3 linked regions of the Macaca mulatta genome follow. The protein of the gene in region 1 purifies or fractionates together with the protein of each later gene. This does not show direct contact. Links are inferred from orthologs where the notes say so. Each region holds a gene or a part of one and is shown in the gene's direction. Other genes may lie near its edges.

The links.
Region 2: the proteins of RICTOR (region 1) and PRR5L purify together in Homo sapiens (affinity purification with western blotting; 3 studies listed by BioGRID and IntAct, with this or other methods). This does not show direct contact. The link is inferred for Macaca mulatta from reciprocal best matches to the Homo sapiens genes RICTOR and PRR5L.
Region 3: the proteins of RICTOR (region 1) and FBXW7 purify together in Homo sapiens (affinity purification with western blotting; 3 studies listed by BioGRID, with this or other methods). This does not show direct contact. The link is inferred for Macaca mulatta from reciprocal best matches to the Homo sapiens genes RICTOR and FBXW7.

The regions. Positions count from the first base shown.
Region 1 is NC_133411.1:40,050,521-40,054,173, reverse strand, and holds part of RICTOR (rapamycin-insensitive companion of mTOR), read left to right. Parts: intron 1-791; coding exon 792-927; intron 928-1,342; coding exon 1,343-1,542; intron 1,543-1,997; coding exon 1,998-2,124; intron 2,125-2,493; coding exon 2,494-2,658; intron 2,659-2,804; coding exon 2,805-2,881; intron 2,882-3,650; coding exon 3,651-3,653. UniProt on the Homo sapiens protein: Component of the mechanistic target of rapamycin complex 2 (mTORC2), which transduces signals from growth factors to pathways involved in proliferation, cytoskeletal organization, lipogenesis and anabolic output.
Region 2 is NC_133419.1:28,983,323-28,987,431, reverse strand, and holds the start of PRR5L (proline-rich protein 5-like), read left to right. Parts: upstream 1-1,259; 5' UTR 1,260-4,109. UniProt on the Homo sapiens protein: Associates with the mTORC2 complex that regulates cellular processes including survival and organization of the cytoskeleton.
Region 3 is NC_133410.1:160,943,369-160,947,021, reverse strand, and holds part of FBXW7 (F-box/WD repeat-containing protein 7), read left to right. Parts: intron 1-769; coding exon 770-911; intron 912-3,653. UniProt on the Homo sapiens protein: Substrate recognition component of a SCF (SKP1-CUL1-F-box protein) E3 ubiquitin-protein ligase complex which mediates the ubiquitination and subsequent proteasomal degradation of target proteins.

The DNA.
Region 1 (3,653 bases):
TAGTGTAGTATCTTACAATTACCTTAACAATAGGACATTTTTGAGCCATGGGACAAAGTTCTTCATGAATACAATAGAAGAAAATTTAAGTTCAGGTGACATCCTCATTTATCCAGTTTTATATTCTAGCTACATTAAATCTTCATTCATCCGGCCAGCATCTTTCTTCTACTTTATTTCTTCTAACCATCTCATCATAAAATTCTTACTCCACAGAGATATTTTTTAAAATGAAGGTTTTTTTGTTTGTTTGGTTTTTGGGGTTTTTTTTTTTTGGTATGAAATGCTGCTATAAATAACGCCTGAGACTGGATAATTTCTATAAAGGAAAGAGATTTAATTGACTCACAATTCCACATGGCTAGGGAGGCCTCAGGAAACATAATTGTAGCAGAAGGGGAAGCAAACATATCCTTCTTCATATGGCAGCAGGAGAGGGAAGTACAGAGCATAGGGGGAAAAGCTGCTGATGAAACCATCGGATGTGAGAACTCACTCACTGTCACGAGAACAGCTTGAGGGTAACCGCCCCCATAATCTTATCTCCTCTCATGAGGTCCCTTTCATGACATGTGGGGATTATGGGAACTACAGTTCAAGGTGAGATTTGGGTGGGGGCACAGCCAAATCATATCATGTACCAAACACTTTTGATACATCTCTTGCCATTTATCCCAATGGGTCAGACCCAAAACATATTCTGAAAGCCTTATTATGTCATGAGCAAAGGTTAAGATTCTAAAATAATTGCTTCATTTCTTACCTTGTTGCTACTTGTGTTTTGATTTTAGGTTTGTACGAAGACTACTTTATTTTTACAAGCCCAGCAGTAAATTATATGCCAACCTGGATCTGGATTTTGCCAAGGCCAAACAGCTCACAGTTGTAGGTTGCCAGTTTACAGAATTTCTTCTTGAATCTGAAGAGGTGAGCTTCTGAATATTTTCCAGAGCAAATGTTTTCTATTGAATTTGCTTCGCTTCCCCTCCCTCTGTTTCCACCTTCTGTTTTGCTTTCATTTCTGAATATGCATAAGCTGTATTTGGAAACACAGGAAATGATCCCAGACCTAGGGTTGAATCCGGACTTAGTCACTAGTTGTGAGACTGGGCAAGTTATCTGCCCTCTGGAAGACCTGGTTTACTCTTCCATAAAATGGAGAATAATATCATCTCCATGCAGCATTGTGTTGAAGCAGATTAAAAAACAGCAGGTACTCACTGATTGATAGCTGCTATTGGTAACTTCATCATTATTAAGTTTTTGTACTTGATTGAAGTCGATTTTCTAATTACAGATTTTGAATGCTTTTCTCACAGTATCACAATGTATTTACTTTTAGGATGGGCAAGGTTACTTAGAAGATCTAGTAAAGGATATTGTTCAGTGGCTCAATGCTTCCTCTGGAATGAAACCTGAAAGAAGTCTTCAAAATAATGGTTTATTGACCACCCTTAGTCAACACTACTTTTTATTTATTGGAACACTTTCTTGCCACCCTCATGGAGTTAAAATGCTGGAAAAATGCAGTGTATTTCAATGGTGAGCGTTCCTAAATTTTGTTGCAATATATACATAAACTTTATTTTTAATGTAGTTAGATATGGTATGCTTTTTAGTCTGTGTACATGTGTTTGGTTAAGTTTTGTTTTAAATTAGCATTATCTTTGCTTTAATATTCTTTTTTACATGATACTTGTTATTAAATGCTTTCTTTCCAAAAAGCTTGTTTATATTAGGAATTTTTAAAATATACATTGAACTGTCTTTATGCTCTTCCCACTCCAGCATTCAAAATAGTAACTATGTGTGATGATTGATATGTTCATTGATTGTGGTAATTTTCACAATGTATGTGTATATCAAATCAAGTTGTACACCTTGAATAATACAATTTTTATTTGTCATTTATACTTCAGTAAAGCTGGAAAAAATATTTGTTTAATGCATCAATATAGTAATTTCTTTTAACCTTTCTTCTTATTTTTTTTTTTAAGTCTCCTTAATCTTTGCTCCTTGAAAAACCAAGATCACTTGCTAAAACTTACTGTTTCCAGCTTGGACTATAGCAGAGATGGATTGGCTAGAGTCATCCTTTCCAAAATTTTAACTGCAGCTACTGATGTGAGTATAATATAGCCAGTAAAACTATTTCTATAAACAATTAATTTGCTACTTTATGAATTTTGGGCTAAGTAAAATTAATTTTAAATTCTAAGAATATGATATGGAAATTGAGTTTACTTTAAAATTTTAGTTTCTCCAAGGAACTCCATATAGTACTCATATTTTTATATCACAGAGAAGCTGCTAGATAGAAAGGGAAGTATTTTATTTTACAAGAACCACAAAAGTATTCATATCAAGGGCTAGACCACCAATTCCAGTCATTCTTCCCTTTTCAAGTAGCAGGACTCTCCCAAAATAAAATCAAATAGGTTATTTATGGTGAAGGATTTTTTTTTTTTTAAATGTATTCATTTATCTTTATAGGCCTGCAGGCTCTATGCAACAAAACATTTAAGGGTATTATTGAGAGCTAATGTTGAATTCTTTAATAATTGGGGAATTGAGTTGTTAGTGACCCAGCTACATGATAAAAACAAAACGATTTCTTCTGAAGCTCTTGATATCCTCGATGAAGCATGTGAAGACAAGGTAAATGTTCATTTTTTATAATTTAATACTTAAATTTTTTTGAAATACTTATTTGACAGTTTTGTAAAAGTATATAATAGGCATTTTGGAACTAAAAAATTTTCTATTTTTGTGCAATTATTAAAAATAATGATAATCTCTTTTAGGCCAATCTTCATGCTCTCATTCAGATGAAACCAGCTTTATCCCACCTTGGAGACAAGGGTTTGCTTCTCCTCCTGAGGTAAATTTTAAGTAAATTTTCAGTTATGTTTTTTTGTTGTGTTCTTTGGCAGTGTATATTAAAGATAAATTCAAATCCAAATAGGAAGTACCCTAAAGAGTTTACCTTTTAACATCTGAAATAAACCTGTTTTAGACCTTGTACATCCTTTAATATTGAAACATTGTCTTTTCATTGTTTTGGGTTTTTTTTTTTTTTTTTTTTTTTTTTTTAATTGGTCTGTTCGTACTTTTCATGACATTTTCCTTTTTTTTTTGAGACAGAGCCTCACTTTGTCATTCAGGCTAGAGTGCAATGGTCCAATCTTGGCTCGATGCAACATTTACTGCCTCCCAAGTTCAAGTGATTCTCCTGCCTCAGCCTCCTGAGTAACTGGGACTAAAGGCTCACGCCACCACACCCAGCTGATTTCTTGTATTTTTAGTAGAGACAGAGTTTCACCATGTTGGCCAGGCTGGTCTCAAACTCTTGACCTCAGGTGATCCACTCACCTTGGCCTCCCACAGTGCTGGAATTACAGGCCTGAGCCACCGTGCCTGGCTGACATTTTCTTTATTGTGATTGGATTCTTGTGTTGTTGCAAAGATTGTGAAAATTTATTTGTAATTGAAGTTATAATAAATTATAGTTGACCTTTTAGTTTTATGAAGGAACTGTTCCTATAGTCTTTTAGCTCCTTATACTTTTTAAAATTTTAATTATTTTAGCTTCTTAAGACACTTTTTTTGCCAGACGCAATGTTAAAACTATTGCTTGTTTTAATTTGCAGATT
Region 2 (4,109 bases), on another chromosome or scaffold:
TCATGTTGCATTAACAATGTTGTGTGTGGTCCACAATGTTTCAAAATTGGAAAACTTGACATAAAAATCCACTCTTCTGGCTTTTGTTTAAAAATTTGCCGGCCCAACCATGCTGTTTCCACCTTTCTGCGTTGCTGCAGTTGGCTGGGGCTGAGCCCTGGCTGCCCCCTGAAGACTGGTGTGAGCTTTCCAAATCTCCACAGTTCCCACCATACACTGTTGCATCACAATGGGCCATCTCCACACATTTGTCGCCTGTCTCATACTTGAGAATATTTATTAGTGCCCAATTCCTTCAGGGACCTAACACGGTGAACTTAGGCCATAATAGGTAGCAGGGCTAAATACAGACACTTGGGATCCTGGTTTTCCAGCCATCTGCATACCATCTCCTGATGAGTGAGTGCAAGCAAGTTTCAGGGGTAATGTGGGCATCTAATTTGTGATTTATGGTTCTTGATCACTTTTATGGGCCAGCCCCTGTTCCTAAGAGTTTTGCATATATTAATTCATTTAATCCTCATAGGAACCCAGTCATCCTAGTTTACAGATGGGAAAACTAACCCCCAGAGAAAACACTTACTCACAGTCCATGGGTAATAGTTGCAGAGCCAGAATTTGAAGTCAGGAGCAAGTGAGGTCATTTTGCAAGGTTGCTCATGACCTAGTGTCTTGTTCATTATGGGGATTCAGTGGGTGCAAGCTTTATAATATTCATCTAATCTTGCCAGCTGCTGCTAACGTGCTGAGTGGCTGGGGATTAGTCCCGGCCAGATGTCCCATAACAAAAGTTAGGAGTTGAAGAGTTGAAGTAGATGACATTTGTGTTTGGAGAAATGATATGTCTCATTCTTTTCAGCTCTAACTTGGGGTAAGTTTCTGAAAGCAAGTAAGAGAAGAGGAGAGGGACATTTGTGATCTCTCATGTATAGAAGACTAGCAAATAGGCAGGTGGTCACACCTGAAGGCATGTCCCCTGACCCCTATTACATCATGCCATGGGCTGAATGTCCAAAATGCCTCTCCCAGCTCTGATTGACCTGGCTACTCTGATGAGTGAAGTCCACCAGGGAAGACATCGTGCCCTCATTTCTCATCCTCCTGTCCCCAGGAGTAACACAGAAGCAGTTAGTAACACAACAGCATTGTCCTCACATACACAGGCCTGCTTTGTTTCCCCACCACACAGAGCAGCGGCTGTAACAATGGCCCCGAATGACACTTTGCCCTCCTTTCTCCGATGTTGCACTTGTTTTTTTAGTCTGGAATTGGCTAAACAATGATTTCCTGCAGTGGGTATCAGCTTTTCATATTTTCTGCCTGCTTCTCTGTCAGTCTTCAGGCCCCAGGTGAGTGAGTGGCGAGCGGGCCCAGAGAGCTCTGGGCCCATTGGAACATTCCCTTTTCGGGAGGCTGGAAGGCCATGGTTCTTCACCTCTCCCCAGCAAGGTGGAACCTGCCCTGGAAGAAGAAACTGGATCAGGTAACACAAGAGAGACAATGAGAGGTTGGGGCTAGGGGGTGGGGCTGCAGGGGATGGCTGAGTATCCAGCCCAAGGAGGATGGGTTTCTGGCTTCAAGACATCCTATTTTCTTGAGAGCCACCATATGCTGTTAAATAAATAATGAAAAGCAACAGAGGTCAAGTTCAGCAGCCTCCCAATTAGGAAAATGCCCGCTGGCTGGCTGGCCCTGTTCAGTGCCTCTGATATCTCTGGGTGACCAGGGTCTTCATGGCCCATGTAGATTTATTGAGGTGACTGTTGCCTTAATAATAGCCGCTAGTACTAAGCTCTTTCTCTATGTACTGCATATGTATACCTATTACTGTATGTCTCTCACTGAATGATCAGTAATGATAGCAAACCCTTATGCAACGTGCCTCAGATTCTTGCTTCATTCAAACCCAGGCAGTCTGGTTCATCTGCGCCTTTCATCATCATGCCCCTTGTAAAGCTTTTTTTTTTTTTTTTTTTTTTTTTTAAACAACGTTGTGCTAATAAACCAAGGTCATCACAAGATTTCATTTTGAGAGGCAATGATGTATAATGATAGCTATGTGTATTGTGAGTCCTTTGCCCTGTGCCAGGCAGCGTTCTAAGTGTTTTGCAGCTATTTCATCAGATGGATACTTTATGATCTCTATTTTATGGATGAGGAAATTGAAGTACAGAGAATTTAAGTCATTCACCCGGGGTCACACAGTTGTTAAATGGCAGAGCCTGGATTTGAACTCAGTTTTCTCTTAAGTATTGTGGGAATCTTAGTCCTGCCCAGCCCTGCTGGTCTGGAGTTAGTCTGCTTCTCTAGGTCATGGGGTATAGAGGATGACATTCAGTTTCTGGCTTCATAGAACATCTGCACCCAAGTTGAAAGCTTAAGGATTTTTTTTTGTTTGTTTGTTTTAAATGATTTTTCTATTGGCATCAGCTAGTCTTGCTTGAAGAAGATGGAATTGCTCAATGATGACAGTGAAGGAATTTGAAAGGATAAGAATTGCTCAATGAGTGGTATCTCTTTTTTGGCCAGAGACCAGGCTAAGTTGCCTCATGTGTAGAAGAACATACGTGAAATATACAGGACTCATGGTATATTATGAAAGCAAACTTTATTTTTGCCTATCATTGTTCCTAATTTTTTTCAGTGGGTCCTCACTCTTCCCTTGCCCTGGGATGAAAATTAAAGCAGGTCCACAACTCTTCTGGGCCCCCTTCAGGAATCAAAAGTTCTTAAGTCACTTTTAGTTCCAGCACAGCCTCATTCAGCAATTGGGATGTCCAGTCCCAGGGAATCAGCCAGATCTTCGAATTTGGTTCCTAGTGGAGACTTCTCTCCCTTCTCTAGTGGGGCCTGCAGCTTGGAAAGGGGGTCTATGGATGGCTTCTCATTTCCCACATTAAGTTTCCATCCTTCTCTCCTCTGGCTTACTGAGGATTCTGACTCCTGGCAGGGTGAAGGGTGAAGGGAGAAGAGAGGAGGCAGGAAAGGAGCTGGAAGTCCTTACATGGTTAATGCTATGACAAGCTGGCATTTCACTGGCAGGTTCTGGTGGGTGTGTAAACCTAGTTCTTTCTCTCTTGGCACAGTCTTGTGGATAGTTCAGAGAGCGCCATTATTTCTCATCTTTGGGGATCTCTGAGTTGCTGGTCCCTTGAAGCTGGTTACCTAATAAGACTCCTTCTTAGTTCCCTGGCATCTAAGCAGTGCCATATTAGTTTGCTGGGGCTGCCATGACAAAATATCACAGACTGAGTGGCTTAAACCAGCAGTCCCCAGTTTTTTTGGTATCAGAGACCAGTTTTGTAAAAGACACTTTTTTCCACAGACCAAGGTGGGGATGGTTTCAGGATGATTCAAGCGCATTACATTTATTGAGAACCTTATTTCTATTATTATTACATTATAATATATAATGAAATAATTATACAGTTCACCACAGTGTAGAATCAGTGGGAGCCCTGAGCTTGTTTTCCTGCACTAGACAGTCCCCTATGGGGGTGATGGGAGACAATGACAGATCATCAGGCATTAGATTCTCATAAGGAGCATGCAACCTAGATCCCTCACATGTGCAGTTCACAATAGGGTTCGTGCTCCTATGAGAATCTAATGCTGCTGCTGATCTGACAGGAGGCGGAGCTCAGGTGGTCATGTGAATGATTGGGAGCAGCTGTAAATATGGATGAAGCTTCGCGCTCTCTCTCTCCCTGCTGTGTGGCCTGGTTCCTAACAGGCCACAGACCAGTACTTGTCCATGGCCCGGGAGTTGCGGACCCCTGGCTTAAACAACAGAACTTAATTTTCTCACAGATCTAGAGGCTAAAAGTCCAAGATCAAGGTGTTGGCAGGTTTGTTTTCTCCTGAGGTCTCTGTCCTTGGCTTGTGGAAGGCACTTTCTCACTGCGTTCTCACGTGGTCTTTCCTCTTGGCATGTCCAAATGTCCTCTTCTTGTAAGGACACAGTCAGAGTGGATTAAAGCCTACCCTAAGGGCCTCATTTTAACTTAATCACATTTTTTAAAGGTCCTGCTTCCAAATACAGTCACATTCTGAGGTCCTGGGGGTTAGGGCTGCATCATATAAATTTTGGGAGGATAGTTCAGGCCACA
Region 3 (3,653 bases), on another chromosome or scaffold:
GGTAGTTAGACAATTTTAGAGAGATCATCTAGTCATCCTCATTTTACTGGTGGCAGAATTGAATTTCAAGTTTGTTTGAGACTGTTAAATCTCAAAATTTAAATTACTGTATAAAAATGTTTAGATGATCTTATTTAGTTTTGTATATAAGTTCTTAATACCTGTTTTGAATAAATGTATTTCTAATCAAGACTGAGTTCTGTCAACTATTCAGACCAAGCTTTATAAATAGCAATAAAAAAATTGGAAATATTATAGGCATCTGGGGCAAACTTAAGGAATAATGTGATTCTTGAAATTCAAAACATTTGAACATAGTATTTCTATGTATGAGTTTTTTAAAGCATTAATAAAGTATCACAACCCTTTGTATAAAGAAAATTTAAACTTTTATTTATGTCACTGAAGACCAGTCATAGAAGAAGTGGGACTTGTATGTTCTAAGGAAATATTTTCACATTATTTGTATATATTAACAACTTGCAGTTTTGTCATGGAGATTCTGTTATTTGGTTGCAATTAGCATTTCTGCGATAATAGCAGGTGTTACGTAGGAGGGAGGAAACTTACTGTAAGAACCGCAAATAGGTTTTGTTTACCTGTGATCTCTGGGAAGAAATGTAATTAACTGAATTGATGATTGAAATATGCCAGATCATCATTCTTTGTACTAGAATCTATTATTAATAAGCATCTATTTTTGCTTTCACTCTTGCTTTTTTCCTTTTTTCCTTCCTCTCCTTTTTTTTTTTTTTTTTTTTTTTTGTAGTACCACTGGGCTTGTACCATGTTCAGCAACACCAACAACTTTTGGGGACCTCAGAGCAGCCAATGGCCAAGGGCAACAACGACGCCGAATTACATCTGTCCAGCCACCTACAGGCCTCCAGGAATGGCTGAAAATGTTTCAGGTGACATATCTGAACATAGTACTTGAGATGCCTCACTTAATTGCTGCAAAATAAGGGATTAATCATCCATTAAAAAAAGAAGGAAGCACTTTTACATACTATACTATGGATGAACCTTGAAATCATTCTGCCAAGTGAAAGAAGCCAAACACAAAAGACCACATGTTGATTCTCTTTATATAAAATGTCCAGAATAGGCAAATCCACAGAGACAGAAAGTAGATTAATGGTTGCCTGGCAATGGGGGGAGGAGAAGGACTAACTGCCAGTAAGTACAGATTTTCATTTTGGGGTGATGGAATGTTCTGGAATTGGATAGTGGCGATGGTTGCACAACAGAGTGAATATACTGGGAAGCACTGAAGTATACACTTTAAAATGGTGAATGTTATGTGATGTATATTTCAATTTTAAAATGCTGTTAAAAACAAGGGAACTCAATTTTTGAGTGTCATAATTGAGGAAGTCCAATACTTATTTGTGTAACTGTGCACTGACATTTTTTTTAAATTGCTTTTTAAATAATAAGACTGACCTTCCTCTTCTCCTTTGTTTGAATTTCTGGGTTGTCTAGTTTTCTAAACTGCATTGCTTGTAAGTTAGGCATTTAAGAGTAATTTAAGAACCATGCTAGCTAGAGTTAATACAGCTTCTTTTCTTCAGTGCCATGCTTGTATATGGCTTACCGTACTTGAATCCTGATTACTATATTTTAATAGTATTTATATTTTTTGGACATTTACAGGGAAGATTGGTTACAACCAAACCCTGAATATTATGAATTTTATAACCTAAGATAGTGATATTACATTGATTTATCTCTTCTTCCAGTAAGATAATGCATATAAATCAAGTGTTTAGCAAAATAAATGGCAAGGATTAAGTTCTCACTCAGTTATTCATTGTAAATAAATAATATAAATTATGTAAAGTGAAGATATGATGTTAGCCTCCATACTAATGTAAAATGAATCTACTAGCCTACCTCTGGCTGCATGAATGGTTAGGTATTTAATCAATGCATAAGGGAATAATGGTTGATAAAGATGATACTTTATTTGACTTTTAGTGTTTCAGATTTTAAAGTGTTCACTTTATAAACCCTAATATTTTAAATACCTAGATGAATATGAGATAAATGTGTCTATTTTTTTCTTCTGTAGCTAGAAAAGTAACTTGGAGCACTATTGCTTTTAAATGGATTTTTAAAATCATTTTCTACCCTTCAGGTGATTTCTGAAAAACTAGGATAACCTTTTTTTGGTTGGTAACTGAAAGATTTGAGCCTTGCTCTCAACAGGGATTAGTTTTTCCCCTGGTTGAGACAAAAGTGTCTCAAGACATTTTTCATTTTTGTAACTGAGGGGATGAGGGCACAGGACACTGCTGGTATCTAGTAAGTAGAGGGAATATAAAGGACGATCTCCATGCCAAAGAATTATCCAGCCCAGAATGTCAATGGTACTAAAGAATCTGGGTTAGAGGAATGAAAATTATATTTTATTGTTATTAAAATGTTATAAGCCACTGCAATTACAAAGAATTTTTTTAAGTTTTCATTTTCATAGTCATTTGTTGATTAAACTTACCTTTTCCCCAAGGATTATTCCTACCCCACCCCCCTGAGTTATTTTGCCTCTGGTTCATGATGGTTTGTAAAATGTTAATTAATTTTTATTTTTTCCTATGCATGCCCTCAGAATTCTGAATTTTTAATTTTGTCCCATCCTTTTAAAAGGAAATCTTTCCATCAATAAGAGGTGAAAATAAAACTCAGACACTTATATAGCCTTAAAAAAAATTTAAATATTTTTATCATCTCTGATTAAGCCAAAGAGGTAGGAATATGGTTGTGTGTTGCCATGCTAGCACATGCATATAGTGTGAACAGCATATATCATTCTGATTTCATATCACATGATTTCACTGATTTAATATTTTTATAAGAAAATACATGATTGAAAATTACACTATTAGCAATAGTTTTATCATCACTGTAGAAAAACCTCCAAAATGCTTATTTTGTATGAAAAGGCTTATTTCTCATCAGAAGGTAGTTCAGAGTAAGATTTACTTTTTCTGTGGTAGGGCTCGTTTTTTCCAACGTTTTGGAATACTTGAATATTCTTTGCTTACTATCTAGGATATTTCTCAATTTTAAGGGGACTCTCTAATATTGATCCATAGGAAGAGGCATTTCAGCTTTATTTTAGTCAGGATATTTTAGAGAGTTCATTGTACACCGTTTGCTTGTTTAGCTAGTTCATGCTTTTTAAATGAAATGTCCAAATGTTACCACATACTATATTTCATCAAATCTGAGACACCATAGATTTTTTTAGATGCATTCCAATTTCAGAAATGTTAATATTTAAAAAAAAAAAAAACTTTATTCAATAAGCTAAAGAATGTTAGACTAGCTTTTGGTCCTGTGAAAGAAGTAGGTACAGTGAAAAAACCTTGTTCTTAGTTAACAGGAATAGCATGTGGAATTACCCTGCAGGTATAGTATTTTAATTTTTTTTTTTTCAGATAAATATTCTGTAGCAAAGAAATCTGTAGCAACAAAAGGTCAACTAGACAGGTAGATCAGGACCTTCATCTTCTGAGTACCATGTCTGTCTCTGACACACCCAAGGCCTCATTGTTGTACACTGCCCTTTATTTTCAGGGCTGGTCCCAGAGTAACTAGAAATGATTCACTTGCCTAAAGGCTTACAGTGCTTTAATGTCTAACTTGTA